2 linked regions of the Callithrix jacchus genome follow. The protein of the gene in region 2 purifies or fractionates together with the protein of the main gene of each other region. This does not show direct contact. Links are inferred from orthologs where the notes say so. Each region holds a gene or a part of one and is shown on either strand. Other genes may lie near its edges.

Region 1 (11,056 bases), about 6.2 Mb from region 2:
GGAACCAGGGGTGCTGGTGCTGGGCAATTACCACCTCGCTTCACATATACCCAGTGTTTCTGTGGCATGATGCTAGGGGGTGTGTAGGTGGGTCTCCTGAGCCCAGTCCCAGGGACCACTGCCCCCCTTCCATCCCCACCGTCATCGCACAGTTCATCTGCCTCCAGCAGCAGCTTCCCAGAGGTGGCGCCCCCACTGCCAACGACAGGGGCTGGGAATACAGGGCCACCTCCTCGACGCTCCCCACTGCCCACTGCAGAAGCTGCAAATGCCTCTTGGGAGGAAGATGAGAAATCAGTGGACTCCCTGGGGCTGAAGTAGTTGCTGCTGCTGGGAGACTGATTCTCACTGGCTCGGCTGGAGGCATGGGAGCGCACAGAGCCCATGGTAGAAGGGACCACAGTGCCCCCACTCCCGGATGGGACCCCAGCACCAGGGACAGTGACAGAGGTGGCTGCAGCAGTAGTGACGGTGGTGGTAGCTGAAGCCCGGCCTTCTCGGAGTAGTTCAGTGCACTTGTCCACAATGTGCCACATTTGGAGCACAGACCCCACCGTGAGGAAGTTGACAATGTCAGCAGCAGCCATGCTAAGGCGGCCAGTGTAAGCGGAAGCTAGGACAGTCTCGAAGGCGCCTGGGTCCATGACACTGGGCAGCGAGATGGAGGTCATGCCCTTGAGTAGGACCTGATCATGGAAGTAAGGGGAGGAGGCAGCCAGCACAGCCCGATGAGCCCGGAACTCCCGGCCCTGTACTCGGATAGACACATCACAGAGCTGGCCCTGAAGACGCTGCTGATTGAGGGACTCCAGGAGGGCACTGGTCACCTCAGGGAAGGACACATGTACCACTGCAGCTGCTGGCAGGGGTAGTGGGGGTGGAGCCAGCGACAGCGGCAGGGGGAGTGCTGCCCCACTGGGAGACAGAGGAGATGGCTCCATGTTGTGGAGGGAGGGGATACCCCCCCAGCCACAGGTACAAAGGAAGGAGGAGGGCGGCCGGGGGGGTCTCTGGGAAGAAAGAGAGAAAATAATAATGATAAATCTCATAATGACACAGCCAGTTTACACTCATTATCTGCGTAATTCCCCACAACCGTGTGGTATTACTCTCAACCCCATTTAACAGAGGAGGAAACTAAGGCTCAGAAAGATTAAGAGATTATTCAAGGTCACACAGTCAGTAAGTGGCGGCGCTAGCAAACACAAGTATCTGACAAATCCTGAGCCCTTTCCTTGGAGATTATAGAGAAAGAAGGCGCTCTTAGGGGCTGGTGTGCCTTCTTCGGAATTATACCCTATTTCCCATTTACCTGAGCGCCTGACATTCCAAAATCTACCTTTTTGGCGTTTGTACCCATTTTTTGGGAGGGGGCAGGGCAGCTCCTCTACTGAAAACCAACCCTCTGTTCAATCTCCCCCTCAGGCTATGCCCCCCAGCTCTCTCGCCGACCACGCCCCCTTTCGCCCCAGCTCCTACCTAGCCCCGCCCCTTTCCAGGCTCGCCCCGTGCCCCGCCCACTTTCGGGCCTTTCGACCCCGCCCCTTGTCTAACCTCCGCCCACACCGGACCCCGCCCCCCCCCCCCGCTCCGCCCCAGGCGCTACCTCGGCCTCTTCTCCCACCCGGAAGGCGCCCCCCAACCTCGCGCGTCCCCGCTTACCGGGCCGCGCGCCCCCGGGCCCCCCCCGCCCCTCACTCGGCGGCCAGAGCTGCAGCCTGAGCCCCTCCCGCCGCCATCTTGCGCCGACTCCCTCCGCCCTCCGCCTCCGCTCCGCCTCCCGCCCCTCCGACTTTAAAGGCACAGCCGGGCACCCCGCCCGCGCCGCTGGGCAATACTCGGCCGACTCGGCCACTTTGCCTTTAAAGAACCGTCGCCTCATTCCACCTTAAAGGATCAGGTCCCCTCCTCCGCTGGGAACTCAGGACTTGGTTCGGCCGAAGCATTTATTCCCCTTTAAAGCTACAAGCCTGCCTTTTCCCATTGGCGACGGGTCCAGGCACCGTTCCCCAGGCTCCGCCTCTGAGCTGTGACCATTAGCTGGTTGGTGAGATCTAATCGCCTCCTTCCTAGCTCCTGACATTTCCCCTGAAGCCCCGCCCCCCGTCTCCGGGCCTGGATTGGCCGAATAACCTTGAGTCGGTCTCTCATTGGCTTTTTCACTCCAACTGCAAGAACTGAAAAAGTAAAGTGCGTTAAGGCGGCTGAAGCACTTTAAAAAAAAAAAGTACAGCCTGAAAAACATGGCGAAACCCCGTATCTACAAAAACTACAAACGACAAAAATTAGCAAAGTGTGGTGGCGCGTGCCTGTAGTCCCAGCTACTGGGGAGGCTGAGGCATTATCACTTGAGACCGGGAAGTCCAGGCTGCAGTGAGCTGTGATCACACCACTGCACTCTGGCCTGGGTGATAAGATGAGACACAAAAAAAGAAAGAAAAAAAAAGACCAGGTTAGAAAGGACAGATCAGGACTACCCCGGGAACATCGGGCAAACCATGAGCAAGGAAAGGGACAGCTAATGCCAATCCATGACCACAGAAGGAAAAGACAGTGATACAATAAGAAAAGAAGTTTATTGTTTATTAATGTTTCTGTGTAAAACTTAAGTTTTTTTTTTTTAAAAGAAACACCAACAGGGGATTAGCTCAGTCCATCCTTTGCTCAGTCATCTGCTTCCCACCATCCTCCAAATGCTATCCCAAAACATTTTGGAGGCAGGGAGAAGGGGAGGCAGCTAATCAGAGTCTGAAAGCACGATGATCTCCTCTGGATCACACTGTGTGGCCACACTCGTCTGCAGGGAAGTGAGAGACAGAGTCAGAGAGATATGGAGTACAGGGGAAAAGAAACAGACAGGAGGATTTAGAGGATAAAACGTAGGTGGGAAAAAGCGAGACAGAGAATGTGGAGGGTGAAATATTCAGACAGAGCAGCTGAAACAGACAATGAAAGAGAACAAATTATCAGAGGAAACCCAGCCTCCCCTTCTTACCTTGTAAGTACCAGGCTGGGGAGGTTGTGACTGGGGGGTTTGGGACAGCCGGGCTGGAGAAGGGACGCAGAGGGAGCTGGTCACAAGGCCATGGCTGGGAGAGTCTACCCTTGTGGAGGAATCAGCAACCGGGGCCAAGGAAGCCAAGGGGGAAGGTGGGCTGGGCAGGGTACATATCTTTTTCCCATTCTTCTCATGCACTGACCTTCGCCTTTCCACATAGCTAGGAACAGAAACATAAATATGTGGAGGGGTACAGGAAGACTGAGGCTGGAGGGAAACAGTCCAGTCTCTCCCAACAGACTCAGTTCCCCCATATTCCTCTCCGAAAGTCCCCTGCAATCCCTCCTTTCAGGGAACTCTTCCTCCTCCTTCCCTCTTCCTCCTCCTGTTGTTATTACCTGTTTCCTAATGGCCCTGATCCTGTTTGCTTCTTCTCCTTCCGAGATTTTTTGCAGGGGGGGCCAGAATCTCCCCAGTTGTGAGGAGAGACGCCTCCATTGAAGGAAGTAGAAGAGACCATGCCTGCCCCATTCTCTAAAACAGTGGTGAGGGAGTCCTCTGACTGCTTCCTGGAAGAGGAAATGTCCGTCTCCACAGAGGAAGGGGTGGTATCCAGGGGCAAAGCTTCAATCTCTAGCTCAAAGAGCTGAGATATAGGGCTTTCTTCCTCCAGGGTCAACTCCTCAGGCCGTTCTCCATTGCTTTCAGCATCTATGCTGGAGGGGGCCAGGGGTTCTTCTGACAGTAATGATGGTGACACTGTGAGTCCTTCATTTTGCTGCTCCCCTGAAGACCTGCTGATCTCTTTGCCAGGTTCCAGGTTCTTTTCAGTAGAGATCTGTGGTGAAGACACAGGGCTCCTGTCTCCACCTTTATCTGGAAAAGAAGAAAAGGAGAGGGGGTAGCTTGAGAATGAGGGGAAAAAATACTGCTGAGAGGACACTAGGAGGAGGAAGGAAAAGGTCTCAAACAGGTGGCTTATGCCTAAGAAAACAGAAATGACAGGTGTGGATAATGTTTCCTTGACTTACCTGCTTCTTCCTCTTCCTCTTCTTCCTCCTCTTCATCGTCCTCCTGACCATCCTGCATCTGTTCCAGATCCTCCTCCTCTTCAGAATCTGTGGCCTCCTCCTCTTCCTCCTCCTCCTCCTCCTCCTCCTCCTCTTCCTCATCACTTTCCTCATCTTCATCATCTGTCTCAGCTCTGGAGGTGGAAGGGCACCCCTGGGATGCCATTCCACTAGGGCCCTGGGGACAAAGAAGTTTCTCTAAGGAATCCCTTGCCCCAGAGGGTTTGATTCTTGCATTCCTTTTCATACTCCCCCATCAGTCAACCTGGACTCCCTGGTGGCCAGTGCAGGGGAAGGAGAAAGTCTCTCTGAAGGCTGTACCCCATCCACACCTCACCAGAATCCAAGGAGGCATTGGGGATGTCTGCAGAGGAGGAACAGGTGCCTTGGAGCCGAGCTCTTCTCTTTTTCCTCTCGCCCTCCTCACTTTTGTCTTGCAACATTGCATATTTGGAGATGACCTCATCCAACCGACTCATGGCCAAACTCCGGTTTTCCCGAAGGCGCCGGGCCAACACAGGATCTGACAGCGCAGGGTCAATGCCTACATGGGAAGACATAAAGTCAGAGCACTCAGCCCTTGAAGGGCCTAGAAGAGTACAAACCCTAGAAAGGACTAGAGAGATGCCCCATCCGCCTCATACCTGACAATATAAAGGTCACTGACAGGTATCCCACTAACCCCCTACCTGGCCTATAGTCATCTGTGAGGTGGCAGCCAAAGTTGTAGATGAGATCGAGGTGCCGTCGTTCCTGTAACCTGATGCCCACATCTCGGAAGGCATCCTGAGCCATGAGCTGGAGTTGCTGTCGGGGGAGGCCAAGGCTGTGGCGAGCAGCTGCCTTCTCCACTGCCCGAAGCACATCTCCATAGTCAGGGAAGGTATCAGGCCCTGGCTTGTTGATGAGCCGCTCAATGCGCCTGTTAACCTCTGGGTAGCGGGTACCACGGTAGGGGATGCGCTGCTCTATGACACGGCCCGTCAGTGAAGAGCAGTCTTTCAGCTCACATAGTCGCCCAAAGAGGCGGATCAGCTTACGCTTCAAGCGTGCCTCCTGCAGGTATGTGGAGTCTGGGTCGTCCAATTCCGAGAGATCTAACTCCTTTTCCTGCAGCCGCCGGATCTCTGCCACATAGAGTGCCAGCAGCTGCTCCAAGCGCTGGATCTGCCGCCGGGAACCACGGGTCCTTGGGGCCTCAGAGGCAGTGTTTTCAGCATTTGTGGGGTCCAAGGAGAGGTGTGTGGGAGAGTTATTCCCAGACGGCTCATTGGAGGTGGTGAGAGCAGGGGCCAAGTTCAGCTTCTTTTTGGCTGAGTGGGCCTTGAGAACAGTGCAGAGCTCATTAATGTAGACATAGAGCTTAGCTGGCCGGCTCTGGGCCCGAGATAGGACCCGAGAGAGGATGTTGCAGAACTCCGCCGAGGCCAAAAACAGAGAGTGGGCACGTTGCTGCCGGCTATAGAGGAATGGGACCACCTCAGGGTGGTCTGCTGTCTGCATCTTACAAAGTTCAAGGAACTGGAAGGTTCAGGGGAAGAAGGGAAGGGAAGAGAGACAAGGGAAGGGTTGAGAGAAAGGGGTGGTGGGGTTAGTGGGGAAGAAAGGACAGGAGAGCCAGTCAGCCATCCCCCTCCCTGGGGTACAAAAATCTTCCCACTAAAGCTCACCTCTTTGAACAGCTTCTCATTCTCCAACTTGTAGCATTTCTTGCCTCCCGAACTACTGCGTCCTCTGGCCCCATGAGGCTCAGAGGAGCTAGGGGCTTCTGCCTCAGGCGAGGCCGAACTGGGGAGTGGGTGGGAGGGCCCTGGCTGAGCAGCTGCTTCATCTTCGTCATCATCATCCAGCACAATGATGCTGTTAGCGGTGGCCATGGGGGATCAAATCCCCCAGACGGAGGAAGTGGTGGGGATTTCAGAATTCCTGCTGGAAGGGGATGGGGCCTCAGAATGATCCCCTCCAGCATTGCCCCATCCCTTCACCTCACACATTTTCCTAACTCCTTGGGTTTCAGTAACATCCATCCCTGACCAAAACTATCTTCACCACCTGATTTCAATAACCATTAGTTCTATATGCTTTTCGGGCTCTTCAAGTGGTGTGGGGAGGGCAAACCACCCCCACACCATAAGTTGCCACCTTCTGCTCCACCCCTCACGTCGATTTCCGGTCTTTCAGTTTCGTCTCTCCACTATTTCTCAGAGTTGGCAAGTTGAGTCTTCCTCCCACACTGCACCCCAAATCGTCCTGACACCCCCTTGTACAGATAACACACTCTTATGGGCGCCACCTTATGTATTTGCCACGTCTGTCCTCAAACATGTCAACCCCACACCCACCCCATCCTGAATGATCACCCCAACTTCTAGACTCTCTGAGGCAAAAGAGGTTCCCTCCCAACAGTCCGTTCTCTTTTCCCCTCCTTGAACTGGCTCCATATTTCACCCTCTGATGAGTCTCCTCAAACTGGGGCTTCAGGTTGAAGATATTTTACTCCAAGTCCCCTCCCTCTCACCCCACCCTAATTTTCCCCATTCTCTCTGTGACCTGATCAAAAGTACCCCCCAGCCTCCGCGCTGCGTTCTCCCGATTCCTCTTAGATCCCAACCCTGGGTCGAGCAGGTCCAGTAGACGCGCTTCCCGCCAAATCCCCCTCCCCCAGTTCAACCCCCGGCCGCCCCACTCCCTTTCAGGGATAGGAAGGTATCACAGCTTTCACCTCAGACCCAATGCCTGGCTCTCCCCCATACCCCTCCCCCGATATCCCCGCCCCTGCCTCTGGTCCCCGCACCGGCCGGCCCCCACCTCAGAAACGGTCTCTCGAGGCGACCCTCGCGGCTGATCTCAGAACCTCGCATGGTTCCCTCCGCCTTCCTTCCCCCTCCCACCGCAGGCCCCACTACGGACCGGAAGTCACAGAGTTTCCGCCTACAGGCAACTAAGCGCCGCCATATTGTCGTACGGAACCCAGTCTTTCTGTGGACGGAAGTGGCCGTAGGCCCGCCCCGTGAACACTTTCAGTGCCGCCCACATAGCGCTCTCTTTCAGATCGGAGTTTGTCTCCCCCAACCCAAGCTTCCCAAAGCAGCTGGGGGCCGCCATTTTGCCGTACGGCGCTGGCTAAACCCGGACTCCGGTGCGCAGCCAGTGGAGCTCTTTTCACCCGGTGCTTCTACGACTCTGCCAATCAGAAACTTCCTGCTTGGGGCCTAATCGCTGGCGAGTAGCATGTAGGGAGGACCGAGCCTCCTTTTCGAGCAGGGGCAGGGGAACCGTACAGGGTGGATAAGGAATTGGGCTTTCCAAAGCTGCGCAGGATTTCATGGAAGGGCAGAAGTCTCTTAAAAGGGAAGTAAAACCTTTTTATTTCAGCTGGGCTGTTGGCAAGCCTTCTGGCCCTGCTTTCCTGTCCCCCAGATTCCCAGATTCCCATTTCCAAGGCTTATTCGGCTGCTCCTTCCCCTTTCCCCGCTAGGCGGCGCGCTCCTTGCCGCTGTCCAGCAGTTGCTTCCACTGCCAGGGTCTGCGTCTCCCGATTGTTATAACACATGCATACAAATGAGCACAACGCGCCATGCAAAAGTGTTGTTATTATTATTATTGCTACTGTTGTTGATTTGCTTTTCAAGCTTCACCACAGAACTAATGGCCAACCAAACTGGTGGGACTCGAATGGTTCTGCTTCTCCGGAGGGGGTCCTCGAGGGGCCGTTTGTGCTGACCAGGAGGCCGTGCTTTGTCGTGGAGGCCCCCCCGCAGGGTCTGTGGATAGGCAATGATGGGGTGGGACTTGGAGGAGAGTCTGTGAGACGAAAATACCTTGGGTCTCCGCCTCCTCTTCTGGGAGAGCTGAAAAAAGAATAAAGGATGAAGAAACAAACTGATACTCACCTCGTTGAGTTTAGGGAGACTGTAGGGTGTCGTGGAGGCAAGGCTGTTTCCAGAGGTGAGCTTATGAGGAAACCAGAAATGTTAACAGGGTCCCAATCGTTGAGATTCCCACTTTCACAACATCTTGCCACTTAACTGGGGCCACAGAGGTCCTTAGATCCCTAACGCTGAGTCCCGGAATGGCAAACACCGTTCATTAAACAATCCCACATCACTTCTCTCCCGTTGTCAAAGTCTACAGCTTTCAAAATGGGAACATAAAACTCTCGGAGGGGACTGGGACTTGGGACATGTAAGGGATTTAATTTCCAGAACCTCAACTTTCCCAAAATTGGTCTTCGTAAGGAAACACCTGCGGTACAGCTTCTCATTCTTCACTTCTCCTTTTACAATACAGTCACCCTCTTAAGAGAAAAGGAAAACAAGTATAGTTCCTCCCCCCTCAAAACTATAGTTCTCAACCATGAAATCTCTGGGGTAATCTTACCTGTTTAAAATAAAGGGACATGTACCCTGTTTCTTTCACCAAGTCACCATGAACACCTATCTTTTTCCTTTCTTTTTCTTTTCTTTTCTTTTTTTTTTTTAAGACAGGATCAGCCGGGCGCTGTGGTTCATGCCTATAATCCTGGCACTTTGGGAGGCCTAGGCGGGTGGATCACGAGGTCAGGAGTTCAAGACCAGCCTGGCCAACATGGTGAAACTAAAAATACAAAAATTAGCTGGGCGTGGTGGTATGCCCCTGTAGTCCCAGCTACTTGGGAGGCTGAGGCAGGAGAATCGCTTGAATCTGGGAGCTGAAAGTTGCAGTGTGCCGAGATCACACCACTGCACTCCAGCCTGGCAACAGAGCAAGACTCCGTCCCAAAAAAAAAAAAAAAAGTTTTTTTTGTAGCAACAGGGTCTCACTATATTGCCCACACAGGTCTTGAGTTCCTGGCCTCAAGCAGTCCTCCCGCCTGAGTCTCTCAAAGTGCTGGGATTATGGGCATGAATGGCCACTCCCAGACTGCTATCTTATTAAAGAGTTCTTTTTTTTTTTTTTTTTTTTTTTTTTGAGACAGAGTTTCACTCTTGTTACCCAGGTTGGAGTGCAATGGCGCAATCTTGGGCTCACCGCAACCTCTGCCTCCTGGGTTCAGGCAATTCTCCTGCCTCAGCCTCCTGAGTAGCTGGGATTACAGGCACGTAAAGATTTCTTTTTAATGGTCATAAAAACGTGTATGATAGGCCGGGCGCGGTGGCTCACGCCTGTAATCCCAGCATTTTGGGAGGCTGAGGTGGGTGGATCACTTGAGGTCAGGAGTTGGAGACCAACCTGGCCAACATGGTGAAACCTCGTCTTAAAAAAAAAAAGTGTACGATCTTTATACTGTTTGAACATTCTGTTCCCATAATAATTGTAGCAGTAGCTCCTCCCAGAAGACTTTTAACAACTAGAGTCTTACAATCACAAGAAAGATATTTTTCATCTCCATTAACATATATGTATAGGCAGGAAGATATAAAAGATTGGTCAATAAAGGACTTTCAAGTATAAAAGCATAAAGTTTGGCTGGGCGTGGTGGCTCACGCCTGTAATCCCAGCTACTTGGGAGGTTGAGGAGGGTGGTTTACTTGAGGTCAGGAGTTCAAAACCAGCCTGGCCAACATGGTGAAACCCCGTATCTACTAACAATACAAAAAAATTAGCAGGACGTGGTGGTGAATGTCTGTAATCCTAGCTACTTGGGAGGCTGAGGCAGGAGAATTGCTTGAACCCAGGAGGCAGAGGTTGCAGTGAGCCAACATCATGCCACTGCATTCCAGCCTGGGTGACAAATCAAGACTTCATCTCAAAAATAAATAAATAAATAAAATAGAATAAAAGCATAAAGTTTGTGGGGAAGTGGAATGGTAGCAGGAGTTCAAAGAGAAAAGAAATGATAAAAGAAGAAAAGGAATGATTCCCAACTGGTAAGAACTTATTTATACTTTTTTTTTTTTGAGACAGGGTCTTGCTGTTGCCCAGGCTGGAGTGCAGTAGCACAATCTCAGCTCACTGCAACCTCCCCCTCCCAGGTTTAAGTGATTCTTCTGCCTCAACCTCCTGAGCAGCTGGGATTATAGATGCATACCACCATGCCTAGCCAATTTTTTGGTATTTTTTACTTTTTTCTTTTTTTTTTAGTAGAGATGGGATTTTGCCATGTTGGCCAGGCTGGTCTCAAACTCCTGACCTCAAGTGATCCACCCACCTTGGCCTCCCAAAGTGCTGGGATTATAGGCCTGAGCCACCGAGCCAGGCCTTATTTACACTTTTTTTTTTTTTTTTTTTTTTTAGATGGAGTCTCCCACTGTCACCCAGGCTGCAGTGCAGTGGCACAATCTTGGCTCACTGCAGTCTCCTAAGATAAAGCAATTCTCCTGCCTCAGCCTCCCAAGTAGCTGGGACTACAGGCATGTGCCGCCATGCCCAGCTAATTTTTTTGTATTTTTAGTAGAGACGGTGTTTCACCACTGTTGGCCTGGATAGTCTTGATCTCCTGACCTTATGATCCGCCCACCTTGGCTTCCCAAAGTGCTGGGATTACAGGCATGAGCCACCCCGCCTGGCCTATTTATACATTTTTTAATGGGTAGTAGTGGGTAACAAGTTACTATGGTTTTTTTTTTTTGAGACGGAGTAGCCCTCTGTCACCCATGCTGGAGTGCAGTAGCATGATCTTGGCTCACTGCAACCTCCACCTCCCAGATTCAAGCAATTCTCCTGCCTTAGCCTCCTGAGTAGCTGGGATTATAGGTGCTCACCACCACACCCAGCTAATTTTTGTATTTTTAGTAGAAACGGGTTTTTACCATGTTGATCAGGCTGGTCTAGAACTCTTGACCTCATGATCAGCCCGCCTTGGCCTCCCAAAGTGCTCGGATTACAGGCATGAGCCACCGATACTTCAATTGCCCTGGACAATAAATTGTTTTATTTTATTTTATTTATTTTTTGAGATGGAGTCTCGCTCTGTTGCCCAGGCTGGAGTGCAGTGGCATGATCTCAGCTCACTGCAACCTCCACTTCCCAGGTTCAAGAAATTCTCCTGCCTCAGCCTTCCTGAGTA
Region 2 (9,661 bases):
AGTAGCTTCTAACTAACTTCCAGGTCCAAGGCTGGCCCTTTCCATACAAGCTGATTTTTTTGAAAAGCCAACCTAAGCCATGATACTCACCTGTCTAGAATTCTCCAAAGCCTTCAATTCTAAGAAAAGAGCCACATTTTCATGTTCTCCAAGGCCCTGAGTGGTCTGGAGGTCTTCTGTGTCACCTCCCACTGTCCCTAGGTTTCTTAGCTCCTCTTCCCCTTGGTCTTTTAGCGAAAACCTCCTGTTTTTCCTTTGGAGCATGTCTCAGCTGCATCCCCTTCCCTGACTCCCTTTATTACACACTTCCCTTTCACCCTGTCTTCTTCCCACCACTTTTGACAGGTTTAACTTCACATGCTATTTGTGATTATTTGATAAACTGGTCTTCCCTGTACATTTTAAATAAATTGGCTTTGGCTGTCAGTTATCTCTAGTGCTTAGTATATTGCTTGGCCCACAGACACTCTGCAAATTGTTGCTGAAAGACTCCATCATTAACCACTTCATAAACACAAAACTCCATAAAGCAAAATGTTTAAAAATAACTCCAGGGACACCTGGCCTTTCCTTTTTCCTACAAAACTTTGCCCTTGAACATAAGGCAGCTTGGTCTGATTGAAGCCTACAGGCTAATGGAACCCCCATTGGTTCTTTCAGCCTGAAAGAACCTTAAATTGTGTCATTCCCCATCACTAGTGTATATGAACTACTGATGGGGAATGTATGAACATTCTAGTCAGCTCATTCAACTAGAATGAGCTGACTCCACCAGGTAAGAACAGCTTCATCTGCATCTCCAGAGATGACTAGAACACAGGGATTAAAGAAAATGCTGGTTTCCACTGCGTTTATTACTAATATAAAAAAATGTTAAAAAGAAAAAAAAACCTCATTCTCAGTTCTCCAATAGCTCTCATCCCCTCCCTCTTGCCAGTACAGCTCCTGACTCACTTCCTCAGGGTCAGTTCAAAACGGAACCTGTTCACTGCTGTTTTCACAGAAAACAACCAGTACCAGGATGTAGGGGAAGAGGGGTTGGAAGAGGGCAACAGTACTGTCCAGTTTCCACCCAAACATAGGCAAGGTGGAGATTCACAGAATTCAAATGAAATGACTGGTGCATTCACAATGACAGTCTAACTAAAATGGGCTAGAAGGGATCTAGGTAGGATAAAGCCACTGGAGGCTTTACATGACATCTCAAGGGCCTGTGTCAGACCCAGAATAACCAACAGGAGAATGGGGAGGGCCAGGGAAGCAGTTTGATGGAAAGTTCACAATTCTCCCACGTTGGGAGGTGGGAAAGGCTAGAGGGCACCAAGAGCCTCACTCATTTTGGCAGAAAAACTTACTCTAGTGTTGGGAAGTCACAAAAATGCCATGGACACTGAAAAAGGCTACAAGGGGATGCACAGTTCCACAAAGCACGGTGATCACAGACCATAGTGGTGGGGCTCATGCTACTGACAGAAACTATGAAATCCAAAAGTAGGGAGAGTGGCCTTGTAGGAAGTAACTCTGCACCAGTCACCAAAACCTGACCCCAGGTTAGACAACCTGGCAGTTTCACAAGCAGCTGACAACATTGGGGGTAGGAGTTGTCACATAAAAATGACTTAAAACAAAACAAGCAGCTAGAAGAAGGGAATGGTAAGAAACCACTCCAGGGCTCTCAGGAATTGAGGGCAGTACTGGGGAGCAGGTGGAGAGATGCACAAGAAACAGCACCAAAGAAGTTTCCTGTTCAGCAGTCATTTGATGACGGGAAAGAAGATCCAGGAGGCAACTGAAGGGAGCAAAGATGGGTCCCGAAGGTGAGTCTCTACAGGCTGGATCAGAAGAAAGCGCATACACCTCGCACCAGTGACACAACACAACTGTGGACCCCAAATTGGGGAGGTGGCGGATGGGGTGGGTGCGTCACTGACTGAGGGTGTTGGAAGAGCCTCACAGTAGCCATCACAGGGCTACAGGGAAATGCATTGCCACTAGGTCACAGAGAGCTCCTTCCAGCCTGGATGGGAAGGCACAGTCTCACAGGGGAGGTCCATTGACGCCTGGGTGGTAGAAGGCACAGAGGTCCTCATATCGACAGTGGCCCTTTTTGGCAAAATGTCGGCAGACAGGGCGGTCAGATTTGTCTGTGAACAAGTGAAAATTGAACATTTAAAAATTTGAGCAAGAAAGAAAACAAATATAATGAAAAGCAGAGACAAAAGGAGGACAGATTTCCTACCCCTACCATTTCCAGGTATTTTGAAATGGTAGTCTTTCCTCTGGGAGAAATAACATTCAGGTCTATTTCTGCTTCAAAAGCAAACAAGGAAAGCCCAGAGATGATCATGAATGTTCTGTCACTCTGGGAGTAAGGGGCATAACAAAATGGACCTCACCTTCCATAACCTGGGGGTCATCCTTGGGCGGGCAGGTATTCTTGATAAGAGACCAGCTTTTGAGCCTTCGAGGGTTTCTCTGTTCTTTGTGAAAGCTTCCCCTGGTGGGACCCCCATGGCCTGGCCCCGGAAAAGGAGGTTCAGCATTGACTCCCCACCAACCACGACCATATGGGCTAGACCTGGGGCCAAGGCCTCCCCGAATTGGGCCTCTACCCCATGGAGGAGGTGGGAGGCTCAGCAGTGGTGGAATCAATGGTCCCCTTGATCCTGGAGGACCTCTGTGAAAAGCTGGAGAGAGGAAAAAAAAAAAAAAAGGTGACCAATGGGCAGCTTAATCCTAATAAGCCCTGATTTTTAAAAAAATTTTTTATTGAAGAACAGCATACATAAACACACACCAGTTTTAAGTGCACAACCCAATTATCACAAAGTAGACACACTTGACTTTCCGCCACCAAATGATAAGGCCTTATTAGCACCTCAGTAGATCCTCCCCTTGTGCCCCTTTTCCCACTATCCACCCTCCTCCCCAAAGGTAACCACTATCCTGACAGCATAGGTTAGTTTTTGCCTGTTTTTGAACTTCACAAAAAATGGAATCATACAGTCTGCATTCTTTTATGTCTGGCTCCTTTCGCTCAACATCATGTTTGTGTGATTCATCCAGGTTGCCTGTAGAAGTAGTTCATTCATTTCGCTGCAGTGTAGTATCCCATTGCATGCATACACAACAACTTATTTATCCATTCTACTGCAGATAGACTTGTGGGTGGTATCCAGTTTGGGGCTATAACGAGAAATTCCACTATAAACATTTTTATACATGTTGTTACACATATGTATGCATTTCTGTTGAGTATATATGCAGTAGAGGTATTGCTGGGTCATAGAGTGTACGTTATGCTCAAGTTTCATGCATAATGCCAAACTTTCTTTTTGGAGATGGAGTCTCACTGTGTTGCCCAGGCTGGAGTACAGTGGCATGATCTTGGCTCACTGCAACCCCTGCCTCCCGGGTTCAAGCAATTCTCCTGCCTCGGCCTCCTGAGTAGCTGGAACTACAGGTGCACACTGCCACACCCAGCTAACTTTTTGTATTTTAGTAGAGACGGGGTTTCGCCATGCTGCTCAGGCTTGGTCTCAAACTGCTGAGCTCAGGCAGTCCACCCACCTCGGCCTCACAAAGTGCTAGGATTACAGGCATGAGCCCAAACTTTTTTCCGTAGTGGTTGTACCAATTTGCACTCTCACCAGCAGTTGTCCTTTAGCCTTGACAGCACTTGGTATTGTTTTTTAATTTTTACCATTCTGGTGAGTGTGAAAAGTGGTGTTTTAATTTTTTAAATGAGAGATTGGGTCTTGCCACATTGCCCAGGCTGGTCTTGAACTCCTGGGCTCAAATGATCCTCCCACCTTGGTCTCCCAAAGTGCTAGGATTATAGGTATGAGTCATCATGTCTCATCTTGTTTGCTTTTTATTGTGCTAAAAAACACATAAAATTTACCATCTTACCTGTCTTTAAGTGTATATATAGTTCAGTAGTTACATATATTCATATTGTTGTGAAACAGATCTCCAAAAGTTTTTTATCTTGCAAAACTGAATGAAACTGTTCCCATTAAACAAAACTCCCCTTCTTCCATCTTCCTTCCCCCAGCCTCTAGTAACCACCATTCTGTTTCTTTGAATTTGACTTTATTTTTATAATTTTTTTTGAGACAAAGTCTTGCTCTGCTGCCCAGGCTGGAGTGCAGAGGTGTTATCTCGGCTCACTGCAACCTCCACTTCCCAGGTTTAAGCAATTCTTGTGCCTCAGCCACCTGAGTAGCTGGGATTACAGGCGTGTACCACCATGCTGGGCTAATTTTTGTATTTAGTAGAGATGGGGTTTCCCCATGTTGGCCAGGTTGCTCTCAAACTCCTGACCTTCAGTGATCCGCCTGCCTCGCTCTCTCAAAGTGCTGGGATTACAGGCATGAACCACCATGCCTGGCCCCTGAATTTGACTTCAGACTCCTCACATAAGTGGAATCATACACTATGTCTTTACTTAACATAAAGTCCTCAAAGTTCATCCATGTTGTAGTATATGACAGCATTTTCTTCCATCATAAGGCTGAATAATATTCCATTGTATGTACACACCACATTTTTTTTTCATCATTGGATATGTGGGTTGCTGCTATGAACATGAGTCTGCAAATCTCAAGACCCTGTTTTCCATTTTTTTTTGGATATATATCCAGAAGCAGGAGTTCTGAGTAGTTCTATTTTTAATTGTTTTAGAGGAACATCTTCATATTGTTTTCTATAGTAGGTTTACCATTTTATAATCTCAGCAGCAGTACACAGAGTTCTAATTTCTTTCTTTCTTTTTTTTTTTTTTTGAGACAGCGTTTCACTCTTGTTGCCCGGGCTGGAGTGCAATGGCATGATCTCCACCTCCTGCAACCTCTACCTCCTGGGTTCAAGTGATTCTCCTACCTCAGCCCCACAAGTAGCTGGGATTACAGGGATAAATAAAAATATAAAATAAATAAAACAACAACAACAACAACAAAAAAAAACCTTTGTCTCCTGGGTTCAAGGCTAATTTTTGTATTTCCAGCAGAGACAGGGTTTCACTGTGTTAGCCAGGCTGGTCTCAAACTCCTGACCTCAGGTGATCCACCTTTCTTAGCCTCCCAAAGTGTTGGGATTACAGGTGTGAGCCACCACACCTGGCCAAGAGTTCTAATTTCAAAGTGGTATATTTTTGTCTTGCATTTATTAATGATGTTGATGCTTATTCATTTAGATCATTAGTTTATATCTGCATTTTAATAAGGTAACTGTTCTGGTCTTTTGTCAGTTTTTCAAATAGCTTGTCTGGAAAGGTTATTTATGTATTATAGATACAGGCTCTTTATTGGTTATATATATATATATGTATTTTTTTTTTTAAAAAGACGGGGTTTCACCATGTTGGTCAGGCTGGTCTTGAACTCCCGACCATCTTGGCCTCCAAAGTGCTTGGATTACAGGTGTGAGCCACCACGCCCCGCCTATTGGTTATATTTGTTGCCATTATCTTCTACTGTATGGTTTCCTGTTAATTTCTTGATGGTGTCATTTAGCAAGTTTATATTTTCTAACAGTTCAATTTACCAATCTTTCCTTTATGGTTAGTATGTATATGGGCATTTCTGGTCTGTTTAAGAACTCTTAGAGCATGAAAATACATTTACTTTCTTTTTTTTTTTTTAAAAGGTGGGGTTTCACCACGTTGGCCAGGCTGGTCTTGAACTCCTGACCTCAGGTGATCCACCACCTCGGCCTCCCAAAGTGCTAGGATTACAGGCATGAGCTATTGCACCCAGCCCATTTATTGTCTAGAATAATTATTCTCTTACCTTTTATTTATTAATTTTTTTAGAGATGGAGTTTTGCTCTTGTTGCCCAGGCTGGAGTGCAAGTGGTGCAATCTTGGCTCACTGCAACCTCTGCCTCCCGGGTTCAAGTGATTCTCCTGCCTCAGCCTCCTGAGTAGCTGGGAATATGTGCCACCATGCCCTGCTAATTTTGTATTTTTAGTAGAGACAGGGTTTCTCCATGTTGGTCGGGCTGGTCTCAAACTCCCAACCTCAGGTGATCTGCCCGCCTCGGCCCGCCAAAGTGCTGGGAATACAGGTGTGAGCCACCGCACCTGGCCTCTCTTACCTTTTATACTTAAATCTACAGTCCATTTGAAATAGATCTTTATATATGATTATGAGTGCAAGGTGAAATTCCATTTTTTTACATGAATATCCAAGTGATCCAGTATCATTTATTGAAAAGACCAACTTTTCAGTTCCATCTTCATCATAAAGGAAGTGTCCACACATGTATGGGTCTGTTATTGGAGTCTTCAGGACCTAAGTCCTGTTGACTTATGTCTATAATTGTGTCCAAACTGCATCGTTGTAACTATTATAGCTTTATAGTCTTTTTCTCTTGTTTTTAGAGACAGGGTCTCACTATGTAGCCCAGGCTGGCCTCAAACGATCCTCCCACTTCAGTCTCCTGAGTAGCTAGGACTATAGGCATGTGACACCATGCCCAGCTTACAAATCTTGATATTCATAGCAAGCCTTCCCACTTCAAGATCATCTTGACAGTCTCTCACCTTGATATTTTGCATTTCCCTATAAAAATGTGTATTTCTACAAAAACACTGTAGATATTCTGGCTTGGAATGCATGAAATCTATACATCAGTTTGGGAAGAAGTGACATTTTAACAACATCGAGTTTTTCAATCAGCAAATATACAACTTTTCTCCATTCATTTAGGTATGGAATCCCTGATCTTTTGATTTTTAAGTCCTTTCTGGGTTTTATCCCCTCCCTTGCTCTCTTCTCCACGACCTAATACAAGGATCAGGGCCCCTTCCTCCTCACCTGACTTAGGGTCACCAGGTTTTCCATTGGCCATGGGGGGAGGGCCCAGAAGGCTGGGTGGTCCTAAGAGCAGACATGAAAATACGGTCATCAGAATGGATTAAGGGACTGATGATTCTGTTCTTAGGTGTTTTTCTTCTATTACTCATTTCTTAATTCAACCAGTAAAGTCAGGTATATTTTCAGCAGTCTTAGGAGTTCTCACCCCATCTACCTGCGCTTTTTTCTGCAAAGCTGTTTCGGGTTTGCAAAGAGTAGATATTCAATCAAAGGGGATAATGCAGGAAAAGACAAAACTTTTTCTTTTCCTCACCGTACCGTCGCTATCCAAAACAATCCAAGTGTCTCCAGACATAAACCAATCCCTCAACTGCTGGCCAGTCAATTCTCTTCTCCTTCCCCTTGGCCAGAGGACTAGTTCAGAGAAAGCTGCACCTGCACCTCTTCAGTCAGTCTGGATACAAACTGTCATCCCAGTCATCACAATCTGCAACATCTCTACTGTCCCTTTCCCCTATTGTTCTGCGACTGCGCAAAAGAGCTCTTTATTCTCGCCACCCCCGCCTTCTCCAGAAAGGTTTGGGGCCAGTTTGAGGTTGATGGTTCCAGTAAGAGAACTCCTCGTTCAAGGCTCCATTTGGGACAGCCCCTTCCATTCCTCCCCAGCGCGTGCGCCCTTCCTCCTTCCGTTACAGCCCCCTCCTTTGCACCTTACCAGCCCCTAGCCCCTCGCCCGGACGGGCTGACAGGCATGTGCACGTCCCTCCCCGACCCCTCACCGATGGGACTCCCATCCTCCTCATCTCCAGTATCTTCCCGCTCGGGCAGTGGGGGCTGCTGCTGTGATGGTGGCTGGTGCTGATTCTGCTTCTTTCGTTTCGGCATCGTGGCTGCCGCAATGGCTGCAGCGGGATTTGGAGGGCAGTGAGGAAGGGGCACACGGGGATTCTGTTTCCGCTTCCGGCGGGGCGGTGGGCAGCGAGGATGAGGCTCCCGCCATTCCATTTCCGGAACGTTGCGGGGAACATCTGCAGCGGCCGCATTCTGGAGTAAACTGCCTCTGTCCGTCTCTGCTAGGCATGGTGGCAACCTCACACCTTCCCTTTGCTGCGTTTCTATAACTGCTTTGAAAAAAATTCCTCTCTTCTTCCCTCGTTGGAAACCACCACAACCAGCTCCTCGGAGTGTGCCACAGAGTCAAGAGGCTCTCTGGCCAGAAGGCCTGAGAAGAGGACTGTCGCACCGTAAGATCGCCACATCCGGTCCCCGGTTACTATGGTAACAGCTGCAGGCACAACTTCGTGCCCTCTGACCTCCCTCCAAAGTCCTTGTGCCGTTTGGGTTTCCCTTCTCGTCCCCTTTTGCACTCATCTGTAAACCTGCTACTTATCATCGTTCTCACAAGGAATTTGGGTCCCAGCAGGTCGGCACCCAGGACTCTTCAGACCGCCGCCCTCCCCTAAAGACCTCTGATCGTGCCCCCGGTGTAGCTCAGCAACCTGGCTTCTTACCCGGGACGCACAGTCTCGGTTTTCCAGTAAGGTCTAGCCCGAGGGTTGGTTTTGTAGTCTCAGCGAGTCCACGCCTCCTCTCCCCTAGGTAGTAGGCCCCGCCCTCCACTCCACCGCCCCCTCCAGGTGAGTGGTAGCTTCTCCCGGGAGCGCAAAGTAGTGATGACACGCATCCCCCCTTCTCCGAACGCAAGTTGGTAGCGTCCGTGACGGAGTTAGCCCGGTCCTCCCACGCGCGCCTCCTTCGCCGCCGCCGGGGCGCCCTCTCGGTGCCACTGGCTCTCACGTGCCAGTAGCCCACCCCGCATCATCCTCTCGCCTAGCTCCTGGAGGGAAGTGACTGTATATCTCCCTCGGTCGTCTTCCATCGCGGCCGCCGCGGCAATTCGGTCGGGCCCGCCCGCTGACGTCACCTGCTAGCCCCGCCTCCTCTAGGGTCCCGGGCCCCTGCGGCGGGGGCTGCCCCGGGGGCAGTTAGTTGAGGCGGCGGGAGCTCGGTGGAGGGCGGGCCAGGTGACTGGTCCGGGCCATGCCGAGGAAGAAGCCCTTCAGCGTGAAGCAGAAGAAGAAGCAGTTGCAGGACAAGCGGGAGCGGAAGAGAGGTCAGTGCGGGAGCGGGAGGAGGGGGCGGGGCTCAGGCTCCCGCACATCTGGAAGGAGGGGTGTGCTAGCTGCACTTCTCGGGGGCGTGGGAGGGGATCGTGGGAGAGCGCTGACCCTCGAGGCCTTTCGCGGAGGGGATTCCCCACCCCCCCTACATCTGGAAGGGGTGGGGAAAGATGGAGAATTGGGGGAGGGGAATCCCTTCAGCTCGTACAGGGCACGGTCCGCACTGCTCCCTGGAGGAGTGACTCCCCCGCGCACATCCGGGAGGGTCCCGAACAGGGTGGCTGGGAGGACGGAGCCTCCAAAGAAGTTGAGTGGGATGAAGGAGAGTCAGGCCGACGCGGGAGAGGGTCTTACGGCGCTTGAGAGCTGGCCAGCCCTGGCGTCACCCGCCCCTCTCCGCAGGGCTTCAAGATGGGCTACGCTCCAGTTCCAACAGCCGCAGCGGGAGCCGGGAGCGGCGGGAGGAACAGACCGATACCTCGGACGGGGAGTCTGTGACCCATCATATCCGCAGGCTTAACCAGCAGCCTTCTCAGGGGCTGGGTCCGCGAGGCTACGACCCAAATCGGTGAGGGTGGGAGGGGGCACTGGTTACGACTTTCCCGCCTACCCGGAAGTCAGAGCTTTGGGGGAAAGCAGGATGCTACTGGTGAAGACGGTGGGCCTAGGATGCCACAGTTCTCCGCTGGCCTCTCGGCTCCCCAGAGCAGGTCACAATCT

Evidence for each region.
Region 1: the proteins of PRR3 (region 2) and DAXX purify together in Homo sapiens (co-immunoprecipitation; 3 studies listed by BioGRID and IntAct, with this or other methods). This does not show direct contact. The link is inferred for Callithrix jacchus from reciprocal best matches to the Homo sapiens genes PRR3 and DAXX.

The regions. Positions count from the first base shown.
Region 1 is NC_133505.1:41,558,838-41,569,893, forward strand, and holds DAXX (death domain-associated protein 6), read right to left. Parts: upstream 6,970-11,056; 5' UTR 6,877-6,969; intron 5,998-6,876; exon of another isoform or gene 5,995-5,997; 5' UTR 5,946-5,994; coding exon 5,739-5,945; intron 5,590-5,738; coding exon 4,758-5,589; intron 4,613-4,757; coding exon 4,401-4,612; intron 4,247-4,400; coding exon 4,030-4,246; intron 3,875-4,029; coding exon 3,397-3,874; intron 3,219-3,396; coding exon 2,996-3,218; intron 2,798-2,995; coding exon 2,738-2,797; 3' UTR 2,558-2,737; downstream 1-2,557. Other genes in the region: ZBTB22 (zinc finger and BTB domain-containing protein 22), read right to left, coding at 1-941. UniProt on the Homo sapiens protein: Transcription corepressor known to repress transcriptional potential of several sumoylated transcription factors. Down-regulates basal and activated transcription.
Region 2 is NC_133505.1:35,350,728-35,360,388, reverse strand, and holds PRR3 (proline-rich protein 3), read right to left. Parts: upstream 7,748-9,661; 5' UTR 7,707-7,747; coding exon 7,601-7,706; intron 6,885-7,600; coding exon 6,822-6,884; intron 2,688-6,821; coding exon 2,397-2,687; intron 2,145-2,396; coding exon 2,038-2,144; 3' UTR 837-2,037; downstream 1-836. Other genes in the region: GNL1 (guanine nucleotide-binding protein-like 1), read left to right, coding at 8,862-8,934, 9,344-9,509.